Caenorhabditis elegans: one gene and its partners. The protein of the gene in region 4 purifies or fractionates together with the protein of the main gene of each other region. This does not show direct contact. Each region holds a gene or a part of one and is shown on either strand. Other genes may lie near its edges.

What was found.
Region 1: the proteins of prel-1 (region 4) and W01B6.8 fractionate together in Caenorhabditis elegans (co-fractionation; one large-scale study listed by BioGRID). This does not show direct contact.
Region 2: the proteins of prel-1 (region 4) and pept-1 fractionate together in Caenorhabditis elegans (co-fractionation; one large-scale study listed by BioGRID). This does not show direct contact.
Region 3: the proteins of prel-1 (region 4) and C25H3.14 fractionate together in Caenorhabditis elegans (co-fractionation; one large-scale study listed by BioGRID). This does not show direct contact.

Annotation. Positions count from the first base shown.
Region 1 is NC_003282.8:10,082,854-10,086,264, forward strand, and holds W01B6.8 (uncharacterized protein), read right to left. Parts: upstream 1,521-3,411; coding exon 1,333-1,520; intron 1,285-1,332; coding exon 1,150-1,284; intron 1,106-1,149; coding exon 944-1,105; intron 850-943; coding exon 730-849; intron 681-729; coding exon 638-680; 3' UTR 533-637; downstream 1-532. Other genes in the region: col-2 (Cuticle collagen 2), read right to left, coding at 1,632-2,257, 2,305-2,584; Kinetochore protein ndc-80, read left to right, coding at 3,294-3,406.
Region 2 is NC_003284.9:6,454,838-6,462,280, reverse strand, and holds pept-1 (Peptide transporter family 1), read right to left. Parts: upstream 5,410-7,443; 5' UTR 5,249-5,409; coding exon 5,206-5,248; intron 4,578-5,205; coding exon 4,422-4,577; intron 3,996-4,421; coding exon 3,854-3,995; intron 3,811-3,853; coding exon 3,721-3,810; intron 3,508-3,720; coding exon 3,317-3,507; intron 3,270-3,316; coding exon 3,192-3,269; intron 3,145-3,191; coding exon 3,062-3,144; intron 3,004-3,061; coding exon 2,748-3,003; intron 2,499-2,747; coding exon 2,354-2,498; intron 2,300-2,353; coding exon 2,218-2,299; intron 2,173-2,217; coding exon 2,050-2,172; intron 1,869-2,049; coding exon 1,603-1,868; intron 1,552-1,602; coding exon 1,032-1,551; intron 973-1,031; coding exon 640-972; 3' UTR 514-639; downstream 1-513. Other genes in the region: K04E7.1 (Serpentine Receptor, class BC (Class B-like)), read right to left, coding at 138-252; Zinc metalloproteinase nas-33, read left to right, coding at 7,147-7,228, 7,361-7,415. UniProt on the Caenorhabditis elegans protein: Low-affinity peptide transporter that is necessary for proton-dependent uptake of di- or tripeptides, and to a minor extent tetrapeptides, in the intestine. Transport is independent of sodium and chloride ions.
Region 3 is NC_003280.10:5,693,744-5,696,884, reverse strand, and holds C25H3.14 (Acyl-coenzyme A thioesterase 13), read right to left. Parts: upstream 1,503-3,141; 5' UTR 1,492-1,502; coding exon 1,217-1,491; intron 839-1,216; coding exon 754-838; intron 699-753; coding exon 627-698; 3' UTR 527-626; downstream 1-526. Other genes in the region: C25H3.10 (F-box domain-containing protein), read left to right, coding at 1-191; C25H3.3 (Acyl-coenzyme A thioesterase 13), read right to left, coding at 2,146-2,232, 2,275-2,359, 2,405-2,679; eif-2D (SUI1 domain-containing protein), read right to left, coding at 3,123-3,141.
Region 4 is NC_003280.10:11,493,865-11,497,187, reverse strand, and holds prel-1 (PRELI/MSF1 domain-containing protein), read right to left. Parts: upstream 1,497-3,323; 5' UTR 1,486-1,496; coding exon 1,412-1,485; intron 1,362-1,411; coding exon 1,261-1,361; intron 1,210-1,260; coding exon 1,028-1,209; intron 983-1,027; coding exon 707-982; 3' UTR 525-706; downstream 1-524. Other genes in the region: emc-5 (Membrane magnesium transporter), read right to left, coding at 6-207, 327-346; ooc-3 (Chloride channel CLIC-like protein 1), read left to right, coding at 1,874-2,047, 2,094-2,191, 2,242-2,704, 2,767-2,885, 2,934-3,040, 3,091-3,223, 3,280-3,323.

The DNA of each region.
Region 1 (3,411 bases), on a different chromosome or scaffold from region 4:
AAATTCGTGACGCTTCTTCCAGTCCGATCCTCTTGGAATCAATGCTCCACCAACACCAGATGAAGCAGGTCTTACTGAAAAAAGTGGAAAGAAGCATGGAAAGAAGTAAACTATGATTTTGAATAAAGAATTCGATTATGAATTTGTATTGCTGAAGTTAAAAGAAAAATTTATATCCTCAAGTACAGTTGGCTCCTCCGATTAGTCTATCATTTTAGACCTTATGAAGATTCAATATTTTTCAGGCAGATTTCTGATTGAACATTGATCTTTGGGATTCTAAGTTTAACTGGAGAAAATTAAAGCTTTTCTCACTTCAAGAAATTTTCTAATCTGGTTTTACTGTTGACAACATGAACCTTTGAATCTGTTAGTAAAAGTTATAATATTTTTCTCCCAGAGGGAGAAAAGAGACACACTTGGTTAACGTTTCGACTGGCACTGGCTTATTTAACAACTCGGTAAGAGCGTTTCAAAACGGAAGGAGACCAAAAAGATTATCTAACATGCATAAAATTTGGAAATGTAGTGAATTGCATTTTATTTCTGTGTATTTAAAACTATAAAAAAGAAATTTTATAAGCAACGACTTTATTTTTGCTCAAGTCTAATCAATTCTTCAAAAAGTTCCAAACAATCACGGGATATACGATGTTTTTTCGTCCGGATCATCTGGCTTTCTGAAAAACAAAAATGATTTCGCTACACTTTTTTAAACAATTTTCTTACGTGGCTCTTCGTTTAACTCTTTTCAAAGTATCAGCGAATTGTGCTTTTCTAGTTGGTGCAGTGTGCAAGTCTGTTTTTTGTTTGTTTGCTGGCGTGAGGATGTTGCTGGATGTTTCATCTCTGAATAAATACTTAGGGTATTTGGATTACTAATAATAAAGCCTACTCTACATTCTATAATTTAAAAATCTCATTTGATAGGCGATTTACTCACTTTGCTGCCTTTCCCAATGGTACATTGATAATTTCAGTTTTTGCAGATTCCGTTTCAGATTTCTGTGAATTTCTCAAAGAAACTTGATTGTTACTTGAGATCCTAGAATTGGTAAATCTCTGAGCTTGCGGTGCCCGGCGTGGTACTTTTAGAGAATCAATTCTGAACAGTTTCAAGATATAATTATATTGGATATTGAATCTTACACTGTGATTTTCTCCTTTTTCATACTTTTTTCACTCGATAATCTCCTCTCACTTTTCTCAGAAATCAATGAAGATTTTGACGTTGCCGCTGGTTTACATGCTCTTTCAGATGACGTCGTTTCTCGAGAACTCTTACTTAATTTTATTAACTCTTTGATGTTTTTTTTTTAAATATTGACCTACCTCTTCTGTGAATTTTTAGAGACACAAGTCGTTCCAATGATGAGTTGTAACATTAACGACCAGAATAAAAACAGAATAATTGATATTTGTGAATACAAGCACATTATTTTGCTTGAACACCCCTCAGATGTTATATTGAAATATTGAGAAATAAACGGAAATTTTGAAAATGGAAAATTATTGAACATATTTCGAGGATTACGTTTTTAAAAATATTTCTTCGTGTGGTATGTAGATGTTATAAACAAAGAAGTTGAATGAAAAATGCTTTATTTGGCACAAACGGCACGCTTCTAAATTTAGCGGCGTCGGGTTCCGTCCTCAAAGAAGACTCCTCCGTCGATAGCACAATACTTGGGGCAGATTCCCTTCTCTCCTTCTCCTCCTGGCTTTCCAGCGGTTCCTGGTCCTCCTGGGTTTCCGTCAGCTCCTGGTGCTCCAGCAGCTCCTGGTGGTCCCTTTGGTCCAGCTGGTCCTGGTCCTCCGGTTCCTGGGGCTCCGTCATTTCCGGCTGGTCCGGCTGGTCCTGGTGGTCCAGCTGGTCCTGGCTCTCCTGGTCCTCCTTGCTCGGATGCTCCTGGTTCTCCTGGTCCTCCTGGGGCTCCTGGGGCTCCGTCGTTTCCGGCTGGTCCTGCTGGTCCTGGTGGTCCGGCTGGTCCTGGGCCTGATGGTCCGGCTGGTGATCCTGGGTTTCCATCTGGTCCCGGTGGTCCTGGTGGTCCGGCTGGACCAGCTGGTCCTGGTGGTCCTCCTGGGCATGGTTGGCATGGTGGTTGAGTAACTGGCTCACATGGAGCTGATGCTCCTTTTCCTGGATTTCCTGGGGCTCCTGGAGCTCCTGGCTTTCCTGGCTTTCCTGGTTTTCCGGGAGATCCACCTGGTCCTGGTGGTCCAGGATTGCAGCATCCATCACATCCTCCGCCGCCTGAAAATGTATTCAAATACTTAAACTCTGTGAACCAAGATCCTTACCTCCGCCTCCGCCTCCTCCAGCTCCTCCAGTGGAATAAGCTTGACGAGCAACACGAGTATTGTTTCCTGGAGCATCCTTAATAAGATGCACCTCACTCCAGATATCACGAGCAGAAACCTTGCAGAAATTAACATCAGTGTGAATCTGTTTCTTCACATTATTAACATAGTTATAAACCATTGGCAATGTGATGAAAACAGAGACAACGGCGACAACCGAGAAGGTGACTGCCGAATAGGCAACAAATTTATAAGCTTTGATACGAGCGTCGATGTCCATGATTACTGTTGGAGGGTGAGTGATGGACTGAAGAATTCCAAAAGAACTGATGTTTTTATACTAGAGACGTCCATGGCTATTACTTGGAACTGGTATAATTGTTCTTGTTAAGGAGAAAGAAAAGAGAAAGAATAAGAGGATCCAGTTCTGTGTTATCACTCCATTGGTTAAAGATACTGGTTTATTATTGTAAACTATATCAGTTTCTCGAAGAAAAAAAATTTGACGTAATTATTGGCTGGAAACTTCAATTACAAAAATGCAAATATTAAGGGGCAACTTCTGTTTATCAATATACCGACTGGAAATGATCTAACCATTGTAGGAAAATTCAATTCTATTGTATATTAATCGTGTTTGAAATTATATCTCAAAAGTTCCAACAATTCCTTCATTCTGGAATCTCCGGAAATCAGTTTCCTCGCGAGTGCAGCGTCTCTGTAATGTAAGTGCGCTCCAATCACAATTGCTATAGCGGGAAAATTCAAATGTGACTTCTCTCTCTCTCTCTCGATATTGTTTTTACTCAAATTTCTATTTTCGTTTTTTTTTTCATAAATATTTCTGTAAAAATGTTTTTTCTTCTTTAAGTTGGAAAACAAAGTTCTCAATAGTTGCCAGAATTATTTTTTTAAATTTTATATGCGTCGCCTTCCGTTAGTATATTCAGTTCTGGTCAATTTTATTCGCTCATTACAGTTTCTTGACAATGTTTGGAGATCGAAGAAAAACGGGCGGCTTGAATCTCAACGGACGTGCCTCAATCGCTATCACTCCGACTAAAAGATTCACCGATTATACTGGATCAACATCAGTCAGAAAGTAAA
Region 2 (7,443 bases), on a different chromosome or scaffold from region 4:
CTGAAATGTTTTAATTCATCAAATTTAATTGATTAATTAAAATGTTTGAAGACTATTACCGTGATAATAAAACTTGCTACTCTGCCTATAAGTGAAAAAATTAAAATGACAAAAAATTATTTGCCCAAGAGTCAAACCTTTGAGCAATGGAGTGCTGGAGGACGCCATTGCAAATCCGGAAGTGTAAAGTGTGTTAAGTAGAGCCAGAACATTTCCAGATTTGAGAGAAGGTGATGTTAATTCATCCGTCATATTTAGTCGCCCAGTGTGTCGTGAGCAAATCCAAAAAAAAGCAGATAATGAGAGAGCCCCCGGCAACAAGCTATTGTCCGTCCTCCACTAGCTTACAAAGCTTTAGACCGGATATACTCATCCGGTCGTCGCATGCCAACTTTCAAATTTGGCTCCTATTTTTGAGTTCAGAGACTTTTGCAATGGAATAAGAAATGTGTTTGGTCGCAAAACGACAGAATCAAGATGCAGTTCGGCTGTTGTTGTGAGAGTGGACATGAACAAAGTTTTTAGAAATATTTATTTTTTCAAGTGAAAACGAATTTTATCACGATGTCACAATAAGGGAAAGCAACAGTAGTAGGTTTAGGAAAACAAAATTGAAAATTTATACATATTAGGATTTAATTAAAAATGCATATCGAAAGTATCTTTTTCGTCCGGATGGAAACCTTTGTTATCAATTGAATATCGTGGATTGTGATCCTCAATTTCTTCCTCATCATCAACTCCAATTTCACCGTCCTCTTCATCAGTTGTATAATAATTGTAAGTATAATAGAAAATGGAGAGAAGAGCAAAGATGGCAATAACTACAAACATCGCAGCAGCATAGACAAAGAATTCGACGGCCATATTTTCAAATAAGTTAAGGATTGTGATGACTACAATGATGGAATCTCCAGCAGCAGTGGTCAAGAGCCAGAGGGCTTGTACCAGAGCTTTCATTGATGGGGCAGACTGTAATATTTACAGTTAGAATAGCATTATAAATTATAAATTTTAACTATTAACATTACCTGAGAATATGCAAATTCGTATCCGGTAATTGAGAACAAAATTTCTGCTGCCGTGATGACAACGATTTGTGGAATCTGCCAAAGAATCGACACACTATTGGACTGTACAATTTGAAGCTCGTGGATCTTTGGATTTTCGTATGTTCCGGTCAATGCATAGATGAACACACCTCCCTGCTTAACTCTGTGAAAACCGTAATTTGTTGGAGCAACGAGTGTTGCTGTTTTGTTGTAAGTCTGCCGGTCTACATCTTTTGGTGTATTCAAAAGGTAGTACAACTGCCAATATCCTGGCTTTACAGATTTCTGCTTGTAAGTTACAGCCGGTTGGGAACTAAGAGATCCAGTAATTGTAGCGTTTTGATCTCTGTCATCGGTATGACTATTATAATCGGTTTCCCAGAAGTAAAAGTCAGCAGGATGTCTTGGATTACATGGATGGTTAACATCAAAGTCGCTTGTATTTTGACGGCACATGGCAAAGTTTCCTCCGTATGAAGAATTGAATACAGTGACAATTCTGGAATTTATATATTATTTAACCATTGTTCCGTGTTATGAACACCCCTACCCCATAGAGAATTCTCCAGTTCCATCAGTTGGCTTATCAGTGTTAGCTGTGTTTTGGTAATATCCAAATGATCCGACTCCAACGTAGATGATCTTCTTGCTCTTGGCAGTCACTTTAACAGTTTTCTCCAATTTTGATGTATCTCCGCAAGCGCCGTCATAGCTGAGGTCATATGTGAGAGTCCAATCGCCATTACCTTTTGCGGGGGATTTTGTTGTAAAAAGATTATAAATTCCAGACTTGTTCTTTTTATCTTCGTGAAGATACTGAAACGTTGTTGTGTAAATACGTATAGTAATTCATGACAAAGGCAATAAATTAAATAATTTTACGATAACTTTTTCTGACTTCCTTTTTTCTTATCAGCACTTAAAATGGCATGATCTTTCGTTTAGAACTTAGGAGGAGAAAGTTAAAAGTGAAAAGAATCAAATTCGAATCTCAAACCTTGTCATGGGGAAGAACTCTCTTGTGAATTCCAGACATAACGGTAATGGTGCAATCAGTTTCAAACTGGTTCCAGAAACTAATTGATGCTTCTCCTTCTTCCGGGAGAGTTGGAAGAGTAGTCTGTAAAGAATTAATAAATTATGGAACAATTTTATTTGAAATTACATTGACTTGAAGTTGAACAAATCCAGTGATCAAAAAGGCAAGTGACGCGAGAAGCCCTCCAGTGACCATTTTTCTCAAAGGTCTAAAATATAATAATTCATTATACACAAATAATTTTATTTCAATGAAAACTCACGTAAGTCGGACACACTTGGCAGCGACTGGGTAGATGATGACCTGAAAGAGTGGGATAAAGAGAAGAATAAGCACGGCGTTCAATGTCTGCATTTGATCCGGAAGAAGGAGAAGGGTGTCAGAAAGACGACAATCCATTTGAATAGCTGAAAAAACACATTTTTAACATGTGAAGAGCGGGGATGTCTCAGTCGGTAGTGGTGGTCGCTAGCAATCACAAAATTGCACTCCTAGGTTCACTAAGCCAACGCTGGGAATTAGATTAATCAACGGCTGACTTAGCCCCCCGGCTTGATTGTAGCTTAAGCTAAAACCCAGTGGGTGCACCACAAGGAATTCTGCAGCTGACTCCCCAATTTGATCATTTTTAAATTGTTATCTAGAACTTTACAAACCTTGAATGAGCCAGACAGATCCTTGCTGATCGTAAAGTGCCCAGAACATTGGTACTGGCAAGAACATGACAAGAACACGGAGTAGGGAACGGACATCATCGATGAATTTTTTCTTTTGGCACAGATTCTTGTTTCTTTTCTCAGCTTGGAGTTCGAGGCATTTTGCATCAAGAGCACAGTCGTGAGTAGTAAGGTAGTGAAGGAGCCAGTGTTCCTTTGGTGTGGATCCTGACTTCATTTTGTTTCCAACAGCTCTCTGAATATTTAATCTTGGTTTCAAAGCAGTTTAGAAATAAAACAAAACAAAAACTTACAAACATAAGACGAGATACTTCTCCGAACACGTTGTCCTTTGGTGGGTTCTTCTTGTACCAAAATGAACCTCCCATAAATACCACTGTAAGAGTTTAATAGTCAATGTGATTTTTGAATATTTTATCTCACGTGTTGCAACAATCATAAGAATAGCCGGAATACCAAAAGCCATTGGGTAGCAGGAATCTTGTCCAAGGCATGGTTGAGCTGAAATTATTGTACTCTAATAGTGTTTTAAGAATTGTCAAGTTTACATCTGAAGATGGGAGAGATGAAAGTAGAGATCATAGATCCTGCGTTGATGGAAAAGTAGAACATGGAAAAGAAGAGTGAGAGCATTCTTTCTTGTCCTAACTCGAATTGATCTCCTCCGAATGCAGACACACATGGCTTGATTCCTCCGGTACCGAACGCAATGATCAGTAATCCAGACAGATCCATCCATCTGAAAATTCAGCAGTTTATTTCTTGTGAACCCTTTTTAATTTTGTTCGGTTTCAGTTTTTTAATGTTTAATGTGGCGCGTGCACTGTCGGGCAAAAGTTGCCACGGTTGAAGTTCTTATCATCATGCCTTGTTTCAATCGAGAGGAATTCGTAAAGACGGAAAAGTTGCATGATAAGTTTATGCGTCGAATACTGGAACAAGCATCACTTACGGGTGAACTGAAGATTGAAAATTCTTAGTAGAAGCGAGAGCGAGCACGACTTGTCCGATTGCGTATAGAATTGAGACAGAGAAGATTGTCCTGAAAAGTCGTTATTGAGTGCAAAACAACAATTATTACATACCAGAATTTTCCAATGTATCCGTCCGCAACAATTGATCCGAGAAGTGGTGTGGTATAGCAAAGCACAGTAAATCCATTGAAGAAGATCGTAGATTGTGAGTCGGTGAACTTTAGTACGTTAAGCAGGTAGAATGTCAAGACCGCTGCAAATTTTTCGTGTCACGTTTCAATTGATCTTCTGTACTGCCAACGTCATAATCATTATGGTAATAACCGGATTATGACCTTTTAGTGATATCGGTGAAAAAATGTCTTATTTGCATTTCATGTGTCAAAACTTTCGATTTTTAAATATACTGGCATGTAGATAGGAAATTCACTTTTTGAGTACCATGTACTTAAAGTAAATGTTGATAATACCCTTATCTGAAAATGTCCACCCACCGGCCGAAAATCAAAATAAGGTTTAACTCTACTTTTTCTTCACCTTACCTCTTAAACTAAACTAAAAATATATGTACAAATAAAAATATTTTTTGTAGATTATTGATACATCAGAAATGTTTAAGGCTGTTTAAAGGATCTATTATATCCTTTACACTTTTACCCTAACAAATAAAGCAACTCACTTCTCATTCCATAGTATGAGAATCGTTCGCAGAATTCGTTGGACACGATGCACAGTGTTGTTTTAGGCCAATGCCTGATCATATCAGGCCATGTTGTGTAGATTTTCTTTTCCGGTAGTGGTACTGTTTCGAGTTCATGGCCGTATGATGTTTTGCCTGAAAAACTCGTTCTGTCGATTTTCGATCAAAAACTCTGAAATTTACTCTTGTCGCCTTTTTTTTTGATAGATAAAATTTCCCACGCGGCAAGATTAGTTATAATCCATCTAATTTTAGATAAATGCCATTATCACTAGTTTTAGCGGCTGTTAAGAAGAATTGTATTTTACAAAACAATAAAACAATCTGGAAATGATGTTTCGGTATGCTGGAGGTAAGTTATTTTGTTCCGTACAGTGTGTTGCAAAATCTGCATTAATATTAGATTTATTAGTTGAGGGTTCTTGTTACTCATAAGTAATACAAAATTATTGGATTACAGTTTTCAACAGGAGCCCAGTTGTTAATGGTAGTCGCTAGCAACTAGGGGTCACGAGTATAAAACGTGAGGGGTACCCCAGCCTTAACTGGAAAGTGGATCTTTAAAATCTGCGACTGGATGATTGACCACATGCGAATCATATTTCGAGAGAAATACAATTGAACAAACTATTAAAACATTCAAATACTGTGTAATGTTACAATATCTTAAAAATTAAACTACATGGGTGGTATAATATTCAGGCTTAACCGTCTTAATAAATGTATTATGCTTTATTGAACTTTTATATGATGAATCAGTTACCTTTCGAGCTAACGCTCTCCGAGCGACTCTCCGAGTAGCCCATAGTGGCGATACTGACGAGGAATGAGCCTGTCGCGGTATTTGAGGCAAGAAATGAAGAAGAAGGAGGAGTATGGAGGTGGGCAATAGGTGCGTTGGCTCGATGACTGTGTCCTCACCAATTTCTTGCTGCGTCTCTTTATCAAGTTGAACCGCACTGTTCTTAATAGTGCTTCTCCTACTCGCTTAAATATTTCACTCATAAATTTTATCATTTCCACTTTCTTTTTCCACCACCTCTTGTAAGCGTTTTCGTACATTACATGCTCCACTAATCGGATAGCGCAGAAGGCGAGCAAAGGAATGAGAGTACGTGTCACTGTTGGAGACCAAGTTTTGATGCGGGTTGTCTGTAATTCAATGTTATCACCTATTAAGATGTACTGTTTCTGAAGAGAAAAAGAAAAATTGAGTGGAGGGTAAAGAGAAAAGCATGACAAGAAAGGCACAAAGTTGAAAAGGGTGTAAAATGGTGATATGAGCCGACTGAATATCATGTCGGCGTGATTTATGATGAAAAATGATTTAGGGGAAGGTTATTCTGTTTTCTTGTTCAAAATCTTTAAAATCTTACAACACCATTCAAAAAATTGAATTGTTAATTATAACACACAGTAAACATAACGAGACGCTGAAAATACATATGAAAACGGGTTAATGAGTGTTTTTAAAACAAGGCACCATAAATGGTGAGTAGCGAATGTAGTTAAAATGTATGGAACCACTTCTATAATGTTAAATAAATAAATTTTGAAGTATTTTCATTTGCAGCCAAAAAGTTGTGATTAATCAGCTTTGCTCACATAAAATTGGTAGTCGATTTGAAAAATAATAGAAATTTAAAAAAATAATATTCTAATTAAATCTTATACACTTGTACTGGAACATTGTACAGCGACACTACTCTTAATTTATCAAGGAGCCTAAACTATGTATAAACTTGATAACATACGTTTAATGATTTTTTTTTCAAAAAAAACTTTGAAAATTTAGACTGTTTTATGATGATCTGGATTGCAATAAAAATTTTCGGACAAAATTTCCACTGACGACAATAATCCATATGTAATGTTTGGTGTCAATTAATGAAATATTTTCAAGTAATACGTGTTTACCTTTCAAGGAATTTGCTATATTTCCTAAGAATTTTTTTAATTTTAACAAAAAATTGCGTTTCAGTTTTATGAAAAGGCGTTTGCAAGCAATTGCAATGTGTAGATGTGTAGATACAATGTGTAGATAGGCAAAGTGTAGAATTGACAAAAGCTACAGTAATAATAATACGTTGATTATTAACACAGTACCCATATCCAGATTTTCCACCCTTTTTTGTAGTCTATCATTAAAACGTTAGAAGTCTATTTCTACAATACACATGCAAAACTTGAATGCTATAAACTTAGTACGTGAGTCTAGACCATCATTTTTCTGGGAACCCTGATTAAGAACACAAGAAAAAATAGTTGAAGTTCAGCGAAACATAATTTGGATCAATTCGGCGACTTTGTCTGATTCATCCCCAGATTTCTGTCTTGATCTTCTGCATGGTATGATCTTGAAAATTGCCATTTGCTGAGTTTTTATAATATTTCAAAGTAACATCCACTGATAGTCAAATGTTTGTGTTCACCAATCATCTTGCCATCAAAAAAAAACTTTTTGAGGCCACGCGTAATTTCATCTTCTTTTCACTCTCAAAGATTCCCCCAATTAAAACTTCTACGACCTTTATATTTGATTGGCCGAATGAGACAAAACGATGCAAACACCTTACAGGTCTTCCCGCGTACCAAATTTGTGTTGTTATTACCGATTAAACCCTGAACTAGTTCATGCTGTAAATTTTTTTACTTGGTCTTTCATTTTGATTAAACTTGGCATATACTTGCCGCCGAGAGCAAAATGTTATTTGTAAGCATACTGATATCACAGTTTGTTACTTGTCTGACGCAACCTGATTTTTTTGAACGGCCTCCTCCTCCAGGTAAGAATTCCTTGAAAAATTATCGCCATCAGCTGACACTTACTTATTTTTTTATCTGAAAATTGAAAAATTTTGCCTGGAATTTGATAAAAACGGAAGTATAAAAATAATGAAATACGTTCCGGTTTACAGATTGGTTTTTTCCAGGACCTCTTCGGCCTTGGGGACCGCCTCCACCTTGGCATCGGTGAGATTTCACTTTGATTCCAGAAGAA
Region 3 (3,141 bases), 5.8 Mb from region 4:
TTCCAATTCCCGAATTATTGATTTTACTGAAAAATGAGAGTTGCCAGAAAACACCAACGACGTGGAAAGTGTCTCGGGATCTAGACGAAGGAAAAGAGGAACTTGAAATTGGATTCTTCAAAAGTACAAACTTCTCGAAACAGCCATCATTGGTTATAAGGCAATTGAAAATTTTAGAATATTTGTGGTGAATTTTGGTATCTTGTTTTGGAATAAGTTTTCATGATAAACAATGTGTATAAAAAAAGTGATCGAAGGCGATTATGATTTCTTTTTTTTTTCTTGCCTCCAACATAACCGCAGCAAGATATGTTCGGAATTTTTTAATGGAATTTTTTATAAGACTTCTTTCTATGATTTGCATCCAAAAAATATGAATTTTGAGCTTCTTCGTCACTTTTGGTATTTCACTGAGCATCAACTCAGAGCGTTGGCGTGTGATACGGAGCCTTTAAAACACATTATCCTTACAACAAATGATCTCTCACTTCCGATATTTGTGTTTTTTAATGGCAAACAAACACATATATTGATAAAGATATTTATTTTCTGAAATGAAATGGAATACATGGTAAAATAATTCTAGTTTAATTTGCATATAACATTATTTATTTTATGGTGAGCGATCACTTTGGGAACGCCTTGGTGTGGACTCCAGTAGCAATCATTGCATTGTCCCTTTTACGATAGAGTTCTGCCTGAAATAAAACACTTTTGTAATCAGAAATATTCAAGAATAAAAAAATATGATACCTTAGTGAATCCAAGAGAGCGCCCCTGTTTGATGACAGTAGAGTTGAGTACAAGAGTTTCTCCGATGTTTGCAGCTGTCAAGTATCTGGAAGTTACGATGATCATAAATATTTTCTCCTGAATTTCTGGCATTATTAGTTTACGAAAATGAACGATTATAAAGCTAAAATATAGGTATGGGGGTACTAGAATGAGCGAAACTTTTCAGTTACCGTACTCGTGAGTACGGTAGATTTCTCTTTTTTGTTGGTTTTGCAATAAATCTGTAGTTTTAAATTAAAGGTTGGAATGGAAAAATTAGAAAACATTAGAAAAAGTTCGTTGGTACCGTAGCTGAGAACATTTCGGTCGTGGTGGGACCCCACACTGAATTTTGGCTTAAATATTGCACTTGTTCGCAAGACTTATATGTTTCAAATCATTGCATAATCTAGGAAACCTCTATTTAGATATAGATACTCACGTAATATGCAAATCCACTGAAACACCAGGCCTCGCTTCCTTTGTGAGTAGAAGAGCACCAGTTGTGAAACAATCGATAAGTGCTGCTGTACATCCACCATGAAGTGTCTCGAATTGATTTGTCTGATCCTTTTCAACTTCGAATTCCACTCGTAGATTTCCTTCCTCCGCATGAACTGCTCTCACATTCCGTGCTCCAGCCGCATAACCGAATTGTCCTTTTGTCCCGAACATTTTGATCACTTCCTTCGCAATTTGCATGTATTTTGATGCCATTTTCAAGCAATCTTAGAAAAAATATATGATTTAAAAATATTTGTTTCAAAACAAAAATCTCATAACCACGTAGACTTGCGTGGATTCTCTTACCATCAAAACATGTACAGAGTACTCGGATTAAAACGAGTATTTATGGAAAATTGGAAAAAAAACAAGAATTCTTTACAATTTTATTGCGGAATAATAGTTTTGTACACAAGGGAAATGTTTTTCAAAACGATCAAATTAGAAATTGTGTCTAGGAATTATGTTTAGGAGGTATTCCAGACACGAAATTTTGCGATTTTTGGGCAGAAATCACGGTAGCCGGTCTCGACACGAAAACTTTTTTTATAACGGGAAAAGGTGTGTGCGCCATTAAAGTTTACTGGAAATTCCAACTCTTGATTTTTTTTCGCGATTTTCTGAAAAAAAAAAGTTTTAATTGATGTATGGGAGTTTTAAAATAAATTAATAAATGTTTTTTTTATCGAAAATTGATGGGAAATTGTTGAAAAATCAATGAAATTTCAACAACAACGAGAGTCTAAAATTACAGTACTCATCAAAGAAGCACACCTTTTTTCATTTAACCAAAACATTTTGTGTCGAGACCGGATACCGTATTTTTGGCGCACGGATCGCAAATTTCCATGTCTTGGAATATATTGATTAGTTTGCTTTCTTCACAGTTGGGAATGCTTTGGTATGTACTCCAGTTGCAATCATTACATTATCACTTTTACGGTAGAGTTCTGCCTGGAAAAAAATAATATTTTTAAAACTTTTCTTAAAGTTTACCTTTGTGAATGCAAGAGTTTTTCCTTGTTTGATGACGGTGGAGTCGAGCACAAGGGTCTCACCAATTTTAGCGGCGGTCAGGTATCTAAAAATCTATCAAATTCGACAATTTTCTTCTCTCTTTACGTACGTAACATGCAAATCAACAGATACTCCTGGCCTAGCTGGTTTTGTGAGAAGAAGAGCCCCAGTAGTGAAAATATCAATGAGCGTAGATGTACATCCACCGTGAAGAGTGTTAAAATGGTTTGACTGATCTTTCTCAACTTCAAATTCCACTCGTAGATTTCCTTCCTCCGCATGAACTGCTCTCACATTTCCTGCTCCGGAAACACATCCGAATTGACCCTTGGTTCCATAATTTTTGATGATTTCCTTCGCCAATTGCATGTATTTTGAAGGCATTTTGATTTAATCTGAAAATGGATTAACATCTTAAAAATTTAGAACAATTTATCCCCCAGACGCGAAATCTTGGGTCCAAAATGCGGCACCAGGTCTCGACACTTACAGTACTCTTTAAAGGCACACCCTCGTTTTTATCTCACAAAAAAAGCGTGGCGAGACCTAATACCTTTTTTTTCTGCCCGAAAATCGAAAATGTTCGCGTATGTGTAATATTTAAATTGGCACTGATAATTCACCAAGCGGATATGTTCAAAACGATAAGAGAAAGTTCTTCATGAATCTTTATGGAACCGAAAATACGAATACAACCCATACTTAGAAACACACGGGTATTTAATAAATAAAGAAAGACCGAATTTCAAAACAAAAAAATTAAGGTGTGAGGGAATACATTGAACAGATTTAATACTATTTGAATTTGCAAATTTCTCCAAATTTTCTTATTTCTTCTTTTTCACC
Region 4 (3,323 bases):
CTCACTTGATCCTTCTTTATGAAAAGGAATGGATTGGCCAGGAAGGAAGTTCCGTAGATCAGTGCAATCAAGGAGATAACTGTCTGAGCGACGACGTCGGATGGGAGATTGATGAACGGTTGCTCAGTGAGACGCAGGTAGAAACGGTGTTGGGCGGCGGAATAGGCACAATGGAGCAATGAGAGAAGCGAGACGATTGTGATCAGGCTGCAACAGGGGATTTTCTTTTGATATCTATGTCTCTTTTTCTTGTGATTGATGGTTATTTTTTGCTGATTCAAGTGGAACAACTGCCGTGTTCCAGAAACTTTTGGGAGGTCACTCACCGGTAAATAGTACTCGCCATATCGTTGATCGAAGACCAAGAAGCTTTTTGAAGGAGTTTTGAAAAGCCTTATTGAGAAGAGCCTAAATATTGGAGATTATGATAGATTATAATGTAATTCAGACAAAAAAGGTCAAGAAAGATAACAATAGCTGGTAAATAACCAGAAAATAGCCAAAAAAAATTCAAAAAATAAATTGAATATGTACATTTATCAGGAGAGATTGAGAGCCAAATAACAAACAAATAATGGTCTCAGTTCAATGCAAAGAATGTGCAGAAGATTCAGTAATTCTATGAGAATTGAGATTTTTTTGGGGGGACATAAATGAAAATAACGGGAAAAAGTGAATGTTTGAGATTTATATTCAGTATGGCTGACTAGACATCCTCTTCGCATTGGACATGAGTGACGAGATTTGACGATGACTTGATAATCTTTTCCTTGATCATTTTCATTTTCTCATTAGCAACGTTTTTGACTCCAAATCGCTCTTCTAGCTTCTCAAACAACCCTTTCGTTGTGTTATTGATCGATTTTTTGAAGCCCATTAGTAGGACTTTCTCGTAAACTGAGCTCATTCGACCACAATCGATTGAAACTGTGACACTTCGCAGTACGTCAGTGAGAAGGGCTGGGTGATGCTGCTGATTATCCTGAAAAATAACAGTAAATAGAGATTTGAAATAACAATGATAAACCTCGGATGATTTGTAAATGCATCGTTCATGGAGTTGAAATAGAGAAATGTGTGAAACATTTCGAGTGTATGTTACGAGTTTTTTCGATACTTTATCATAAACACTTTCTTCAATGACAGGAACAACTTGAATATCTGTCATTCTCGAAATCCAACGAGGAACACGTTTCAAAATCGAGCTTCCTGAAAAATTATGCGAATAATTTACTGGCTCTTGTAATATCAGCTAAATACCTTGCTTGACAATCAATTTTTTAGTGACAATAGTGTTGTCAGTGATCTGGCGTTCGAGTACATCCTCCGAAATGATGTGTTTTGCATGAGAATTTGGGTATCTGAGGGTTTAGAAATTGAAATTACCATTTTCCGAGATTTCCTGCCTCACCTGTCCCAAAACGCACTGGCAACCTCATCAAATGAATAAGGGAACGAGGTATTCGGAGAATCCCAAAGCTTCATCTTGAAGTTTACTGAAAAACAAGAAAATTTGATGAAATTATTGCAAAAATCGATGAGAAAAGTGTGGAAAACTGTGGAAAAGAAAATAATGAATGCAAATTTCTCGCGTACGCAGGCATCGAAATTCACGACAATTCTGCATACACCAATTGTCAACCGTATTATACTTATTAATTTGCCTTCTGAAAACTTGTTTCGCAATTCTTGAAATGTTTCGATTTTACAATTTTCTGAATATAAAAAGTGAAGTTTAAATGCGAATTATCTGAAAACTCGGAAAAACACAACATTTTATTGATCAAACAACTATGTTATCTTATGAACTCGCCTGTCAGTTGCTGAGCGTGCTGTAAACATCTTTTCTCTTTCAACTTTCCGCTTGTTTCAGATGAAAATAATATGGGTCACACTTCTACTCCTCGTCCCGCAACTTTTCGCAACTCAAGACATTGACGAAGAATTTACACATGAAAATGTGTGGAAAGATCCGAATGATCCAACTTCTGGAGAAAGCCCGCCAGCGTCAAAACGACTTCTATCTGTTCGAAATCAAGTTCAGAAGGTAAACTAAAAGCTTTAAAGAAATCCGTAAATAACCCATTCAATAGTTTCAGCCTGATCAAAGTCTTCGTCTGATTCTTCGACAACTTCTCCACGAAACCAAAATTGACTATCATTTGGAAGGTTCAATTAAAAAAGATGTACAGTGAGTATATTTTCTTCTAGTTCCGATATATTTTAAGCTTTGAATTGCAGAATTAAAATATCTCGGCACAGCATGTCGGTTCTTTCGAAGTATTTAAAAAATGATGAAGCAGATTTGGCTGAAGAGAGAGAAGCCGTCCGATCCGCGTTGTCAAACATTTTCAGCGTGAAGCCTCCAGCTCCAGATCGTACTTGGCAGGATACATTTGTGACTCTCCAACCTTTCATTTTCACACTGAACATCTTCATTTTGCCCGCGGCTGCTTTTGTTGTTCTTCGATCAATCGTTCGGCCACGAAACTTTTGGATTCTCGTTCTCTCAACTGCTCTTCTTGTTTCCATGTATTCTGGTTATAGCAAAAAATATCAAGAAGCAGAATCACGAAGATTTGCACAATTCCAAGAGCATGCTCATGATTCTTGTGCTACAGAAGGATTACTCTCAAGAATGGTTGAAATCCTCGCATCGCCTTTCCAATATCGGCAAAAATCAAAATGTTTAAAGTACATTGAGGTTAGTTTTTGTTTTATTTCTTCTTTGTTGGGTTAAATTATTTTAAATGTTGTAAATTTCAGAGTCAAACCATATCGATTTTCCACGAGATTTCTATCATCGAAGTGTTTTCTGAGACTATTTCCGGAGGATTCTTTGCGTTTTTTTCTGGTTCTGCGAAGCACTTTAATTTATTCTTCAGGTATTTTTTGACGAATTCATAAAAAAAGCTGTAAATTAATTTTTCCAGAAATCTATATGACGGTGCTCCATTGATAGCTCAAATCGTGATGACAATCTTCCTTGTTCTAATGCTTGGAGCTATTCGAACTCCATTCTTTAGTTATGAACCGATTTGTAAGAAATTTTAATTTAATAGTTAAATAACAAAAACTAATATTTTTCAGGGCTCAACTTCTGTAGTTCCAGTATTGGAAAAATCGCGGGTTGGCTGGATGGAGAACCTCCACAGCAGCCAGCTCCCCAACTGCTTATAACAGCAAAAGAGATGAAAAGATTAGAACAGGCAAGAAATAAAAAGTATGATTGCGGTGTTTTTCCTGTTAAATTGTGTGAAATAACGAATATTATTTCAGACCCGAAATGATAAGTTATCCAACATCGGAGCGAGAAGACGTCG